Linked DNA regions of Mus musculus: region 2 is reported to be linked to region 1. The links are microRNA targets in miRTarBase. Many come from high-throughput screens and were not tested one by one. Region 1 holds a microRNA gene; the other region holds the end of a gene's coding sequence.

What was found. The annotated mature microRNA mmu-miR-6997-3p reads UCAAACCUUACCCUCCUGUUUCC and lies in region 1 at 1,688-1,710, opposite strand. An mRNA with a match to its seed (bases 2 to 7 or 8) in the 3' UTR can be bound and repressed. Matches are read on the target gene's strand: a 7mer-m8 pairs with bases 2 to 8, a 7mer-A1 pairs with bases 2 to 7 and ends in A, and an 8mer does both.
Region 2: the mRNA of Rad51c is a reported target of mmu-miR-6997-3p. Seed matches in the 3' UTR shown: 7mer-m8 at 1,926-1,932 and 7mer-A1 at 2,264-2,270.

The regions. Positions count from the first base shown.
Region 1 is chr2:29,994,300-29,997,705 of GRCm38, reverse strand. Mir6997 (microRNA 6997) reads right to left here and starts at 1,756; the gene lies at 1,686-1,756. It overlaps Sptan1 (spectrin alpha, non-erythrocytic 1), which reads right to left. Exons shown (of 57, transcript NM_001177667.1): 15 at 3,341-3,406; 16 at 2,129-2,310; 17 at 1,442-1,685; 18 at 1,160-1,282; 19 at 752-969.
Region 2 is chr11:87,376,466-87,379,871 of GRCm38, reverse strand. Rad51c (RAD51 paralog C) reads left to right here. Exons shown (of 9, transcript NM_053269.4): 9 at 385-3,227. The coding sequence ends at 486. Among named protein-coding and RNA genes, the nearest start is that of Ppm1e, 19 kb to the right of the region's middle.

The sequences.
Region 1 (3,406 bases):
TGTGCATACACCATGGAAAAGCATGGAGGTCAGAGGACAATTTGCAGACATATGGGTCTGGGTATTAAACTGAGGTCAAGAGGCTTGGCCCAAGTGCCCTTGCCCACTTAGCCATCTTACCATCCCAATTCTTCCTGCTTTCTAATTTCAGAGAAGAAATACTGCCTAGTTACAATCTCCTCTTTACCATTTTTACCTAATTACAATGTATCTGAATAACATAGACACACACAGAGCAGACTCAGTGTACTTGAGAATGCCTTTTTATAGGGCTACTTTGTCACTGCTTACTAACAGGACCTCCAGTGTTTTTGGTTCTCCCATTCTTGGGGAAAATCCTGTTCATGTGAAGGCTCAACTCACCTAGGGAGGTTTTTGGTACTGGGAATGGAATCCACAACTGTATACAAGCAACTAGTGCTTTACCACTGAGCAGAGACCCTAGCTCTCATTCTGGTTTTGACAAGATTGTTAAGAAGTAGGTCTGACGACTACATGAACCAGATATGAGTCACATGTCTGCATGCATGTGACTAAGAATAATGAGACAACAGCAAATGTTAACAGTTGAAAGTAGGTGACAGGCTCTTCTTGATTCTGAACTTCCAAAATAAAAAGTAAGATTGCTGACACTTTACAAAGCAGCTGCAGTATACTTTATCCTTTCTGCAATACCTTCTCCACTACCTTGCTTCCTACTCTGAGGCTGGGGCCAATTCCCAAGTCCATGTGATGCCCAGGTTTGAGCTACCTCAGCAGAGTCTTCATCCTTCCCATAGTCCGTACTGCCCACAATGGGCTCCTTCTCCCGCATCCAGGACTCAGCCTCATTGGCATCGGCAAAGTACTGCTGGGCCTGCAGCGAGTCCTCTAGATCCTGCCTCCGCTGGGAGGCTTTGGCTTTCAGAGCCTCCCACTTCTGGTTGAGCTCACTCAGTTTGGCCTTCACATCCTCTGCAGCAAAATGGCCTGGAAGGATGATGTGGAGAACAGTGACAGTGACACTCAGGTGAGGCCAGGCCAGAGTCATATGACAGCACAAGAAGGAGACTCAGCCCTGGCCTCATTAACGGGGCTCAGGTCCATGCACTCTATGCCAACAGGGGACAGAGTAAAGACATAAAGAGTAAAAGCAGGTCCAGTCACTGACCACACTCACCTTCCTCCACCATGGCATTTCCCTTTTGTGTCACTGCTTTGATTCGAGGTTCATGCCCAGCAATCTCTGCTTGCAAAGCTTGGTGTTTCTTTAGCAGATTCTGGACTCCAATAAGATCTTTGCCTAAAAGCAGAATCCATTCTCCCATTGAACTGTCAGTAATGGGCTCCCACCACTGCCACAGTATAGGGATCTAAACTTCCACTTCACTTCCTCAGATACATCTCCTTTATGTATAGGATGTGGTAATGGCATGGATCTGCTTGGGGCAGATACACTAACCTCTGTTAGTGGATGCAGCAATAGGCTCCTTTTCTCGAATCCAGGTTTCTTCGTCCTCCACATCCCGGAAGAGCTGCTGCAGACGAAGAGAATCTGCCAGCTTCTGTTTCCGGGCCACCATGGGTTCCTTAAGAGCCTCATAGCGAGCCACAAGGGCCTCTTGCTTCTTCTTAATATTTTCGGCATCAAAATGGCCAGCATCTTGGAACTGGCGGGCCTGAATTGTGATGCCATCAATTCGATCCTGGAAACAGGAGGGTAAGGTTTGAGAGACTCCAGAGACTCTGTTCTGCACCTCTCCAGCCTGTTACTTGGGGATGAGGATTCCTCAAACACAAAGAAAATGTAACAGTGGGAGTCCTACTCTCAGAATATTTGTCCTGCTAGGGCCCCCTCACTTTAGGCTCCCAGAGAGCTCTGAGAAAAAACACTGAGCACAGCGCTCTGTAAGAGAGCCTCATAGTTCATCTTCCCCCAATAGTATCCCCTTGGAAAGTTCAACATGCATATTTCTCCCACACAGCACTGCCCTGCCCCTCCCTAGGTCCCCACTTCCCACACAGCACTGCCCTGGCCCCTCTCTAGGCCCCCATTCCCACACAGCACTGCCCTGCCCCTCCCTAGGCCCCCATTCCCACACAGCACTGCCCTGCCCCTCTCTAGGTCCCCATTCCCACACAGCACTACCTGGTGAGCAGCAACATCCGCCTCTAGCAGAGCATGCTTCTTCTGGAGGTTCTGGACATTAGTGAGGTCTTTACCATAATCATCTGAAGCCAAATGACCTTCTACTTCATACAGCCACAATTCAATGTCTTCAACATTTCGATTAAATTGTTGCTGCTGGTTGGCTTCTCGGAGCTTTATTCCTGTTCAGTAAAGTGTAACCACATTTCTGTTGGGATAGCCCTGACCACGAGCCACGGTACCCCAGTGAAAGATTGCGGTCAGAGCTTAAGTCAGTGTCCAGTTTTGCTAACCAGTGAAGGAAAACCTCTAGAATACCCTCTGCTCTACATTCTACAGACTGAAATGAAGGCTGTTTGGTAAGCATCTATACTTCCATGAGATACATCTCTGGCTCACAGTTAAACTGTGATTTTTTTGTTTGTTTTTCCAAACAGTGTTTCTCTGGCTCTTCTGGAACTCACTCTATAGACCTTGGAAATCAGAGGTCTGCCTGCCTTTGCCTCCTGAGCACTGGGATCAAAGGCGTGCGACACCACTGCCCAGCTGCCAAACTGTGATTTTAGGTAGGAAGGCTCTGAGTGTCTACCCAAGCACTGCTTTTAATCATACTTTCCAAATGATCAAACTACTAAGAACCCAAGCCAAGTAACCCTCATAAAACAGTAACTCTTTTTGGTTTTTTTTTTGAGGACCAGCCTCTTTTTTTTTTTTTTTTAAGATTTACTTATTTATTTCATGTATGTGAGTATACTGTTGCTATCTTCCCAGAAGACAACATCAGATGCCCATTACAAATGGTTATGAGCCACCATGTGGTTGCTGGGTACTGAACTCAGGACCTCTGGAAGAGCAGTCAGTGCTCTTAGCCGCTAAGCCATCGCTCCAGCTCCAAGCAATAACTTTTCTTTTTTTTTTTTTTTCCCCGAGACAGGGTTTCTCTGTGTAGCCCTGGCTGTCCTGGAACTCACTCTGTAGACCAGGCTGGCCTCGAACTCAGAAATCCACCTGTCTATGCCTCTGTCTCCCGAGTGCTGGGATTAAAGGCATGGGCCACCATCGTCTGGCTCAAGCAATAACTCTTAACAACAAAGTTATCACCCTACCTTTCCTGGGTTGTGTGTGGTCCTACCATGCTAAGCCAGAGAGGAGTGTTTAGTTTCCCAAACATTCCTATCACCAACCACTTTTCTATCATCTATTTTCTCCCACCTTTCAGTTCTGTGGCCTCTAGAAGTTTCTTCCACAAACTGATGACCTCATTCATACGAGCTGCTA
Region 2 (3,406 bases), not on the chromosome of region 1:
AAGTGCCTACGTGGCTATACACACTACTTTCCACTTCTCCTAGCCAAGGCGCCATACAGCTTTTTAGGATTCTTTCTAGAGAGCTTTTTTGTTGTTAACTTGGACATCACCACTCATCTACGTACAGGTCAGGTCTTAGAAAGCATCCTTATGCAGTGTTATTTTTTTTTAATGTGTGTATAGAAGAGCATATATAAAATGCTCTAATAAAACTCTGGGTTAGACCACCTGCAAAGTTTATCCTCTTTATTCAATGATTAATAAATTCTCTCCCAAGAATAACATAGCTTATTTAAAGACTATTTGGAAAATTAATCTTTTTAAATTGTCTTTTATGTGTGTGTGTATATATATATTTTATGTGTGTATTTCTCTACCTTGCAGCCTCAGGGATTTAGAGACGCTGTTGTCACTGCTGCCTCATCACAGACAGAGAGTTCTTTGAATTTCCGGAAACGGTCACGAGAACCAGAGGAAGAATGCTGACCAAATGCTGATGCCAGTGTATCCAGTTAACTGATGATGTGCTAGTCAGAGTGTAGTGTGTGTGTGTGTGTGTGTGCACTGTGTGTGTGTGTGCACTGTGTGTGTGTGTGTGCACTGTGTGTGTGCGGGTGCCTACAAAAGCAAGCGGAGGGTGGTGGATCTCGTGGAACTGGAGTTAGAAGTAACTGAACCACCATGAAGGTGCTGAGAACCAGAACCTAGTCCTGCAAGAACCAAAAATGTTCCCAACTGCTGAGCCATCCATCTCTCCAGCTCCTCCACCCTGTCTCTGAGGCAGGGTCTTCTGTTTTGTCTCTTCATTCTCCAGGTCTGCACACTTTAACTACTTCTGTTTTGGCCTCCTGTCTCACTAGGAACCCTGGGATGCAGGTGTGTAGCACACTGTGGGCTCTGAGAATTGAACTCAGGTCGTCAGGCTTGCAGAGCAAGGGCTTTTACCCACTGAACATCTTTCTAGGCCCTCCTTAAATTTTAAGAAAAAAATCTCTCCCTGAACGTGGAGCTCACTGCTTCAGGGCCACCTATCTACCCCAGCAGCACCAAGATGCACACATGTGCTGCACTGCACCAGCTTTTATTATATGCCGTCCTCATGCCTGCATGTCAGGCACTTTACCCATGGAGCTGTTTCCCTAGCTCCTGAAAAGATTTTCTGAAGCACTGTTCTATAATTATATTTTAATGTGTTTTTATTTTGAGTAATGTGGAAAGCTGACCTTATGTTACCTATCTGGATTTACCACCCAGAGTGGAAAATTTCTTTGTCAATTGCCTAAAAAATAATAGAAATAAAACACTATAATATGTTTGAAGTGTGTGTATATGTATCTGTGTGTTTGCCAACTGTGTGGAGGCCTTCAAAGCATGGAAGAGGGCATCATGTCCCCTAGAACTGGAGTTATATGTGGTTGGCTGCCAGATATGGGATCTTAAGTAATTTCTGAGTCATGTCTCTGTCCCTCCATATTCTTAAATGTAGCTTTGGGGGCCTAGAGAGAGGACGCAGGAGTTAAGAGCACTTGTTGCTCTTTTAGAAGACCTGGATCAGTTATCAGCACCAAGTAACTCCAGTTCCAGGGGATCTGACCCCCCCCCTCCTCAGCCCTCCACGGACACTAAGCATGTATATAGTATACATACATACTTGTAGGCAGAACACTCAAACAAATACGAAATAAAATTAAAAATAAACAAATGTAGCTTTGAAAGCAATTAACATATCACTGTTTAGTTAGTTGAGTTGGTTTGGTTTGCTGACTCCTGGTCTGTGTGTCCTCCTTGCTGCTGGGTTGCCCAGAGCACCTCCTGCAAGCCATTGTTGGAGGCAGCACACAGTCTGTAATAGGGGTTGAAGGTCTGTGCCTCCCCTCCAAGTCTTTGTGCCTGGGGACAGCTAAGCCCTAGAGAGAGGCAGAGCCAGGTTTGGCTCCAAGTCAGGGCCAAGAGTATGTATGGGAGAGGCTGGAAGAGAAGGCCTTCTCTGAGAGATTTAGGTCTGAAGCCCCTCCCCACCCTGGAATCCTTGATGAAGAAATAGATGGTCCTTTCTTTGATGGTGGATGTGAATGCATACACCTTACTCAAGGTGAACCAGGGATTAAATACCTTTTGCAGGAAGAAATGCCCAGGAAGGGGAAGCTCATTGGCTGAACACTCAGGGCCTGTGTAGCTACTTCATTAGCATGGAGAACTCCAGGTTCTTATGCTGTGTGACTGATGGGTGTTATGATTACGTGTTCCAGAACAGATTCCCTGGGGTTTGAACGTGTGTGTGTGTGTGTGTGTGTGTGTGTGTGTGTGTGTGTGTGTGTGTGTGTGTGTGTGTGGTGGTGGTGGTGTTTTGAATAGATTTGGCCTACACAGACTCATATATTTGAATGCTTGGCCTTTGGGGAGTGGCACTATTAGGTGTAACGTTGGAATAGTGTGGCCTTTGTAGGAGGTAATGTGTCACTGTGGGGGCAGATTTTTAGGTCTCCAATGCTCAAGTCATGCCCAGTGTGACATACAATCTCCTGCTGTCTGTGGATCAAACTATAGAACTCTCAGCTCCTCTAGTACCATGTCTGTCTGCATGCCGCCATGCTTTCCACCATGATGATAATGGACCTTTGGCAGCCCCAAATTAATTTTTTTTTTCCTTTAAAAAAGTTGCTATGGTCATGTTGTCTCTTTATAGCAATAAAACCCAAACTAAGACTCTGTGTGTGTATACATCTTTCTATTTAGCCCTGGCTGGCCTGGAATTCACTATGTAGATCTCTTGTCAAACAAAAGAGATCTACCTGTCTGCCTCTAGGCTTAAAGGAGTACAGTCCATTCCTATAGTTAATTTTGTGGATGGTTTACAAATTTGAGCTGATGAAATTAGTTTTAGTGACCTCAGTCTATTTGTTTAATTTTTGTTATTTGTCATTTTAAAGGGAAAATTTCAAAGCTATGTGTAGCCATTGAAATATGTCCTCTAGAATAGTTAGATTATGGTAAACTTTGTTTGTTTTGGGGTTTTTTTTGTTTTTGTTTTTGTTTTTGAGACAGGGTTTCTCTGTATAGCCCTGGCTGTCCTGGAACTCACTTTGTAGACCAGGCTGGCCTCGAACTCAGAAATCCACCTGCCTCTGCCTCCCGAGTGCTATGGTAAACTTTAAATGTAGATTATTATTTATATCTACGTTTTTGAAGTGCAGTGTGAATAAATAAAAATTCTGGACTTTTAAAAATCATTTTTATGAACATTGGTGTGTTGCCTGCATGCATATCTGAGTGAGGGTGTCAGATCCCCTGGAGCTAGAATTACAGACATCATTTAAAAGGACTAGAGAGATGTCTCAGTGGTTAAGAGCACCTACTGTTCTTCCCAAGGACCTGAGTTCCCAGCATCTATGTCAGCAGCTCATTT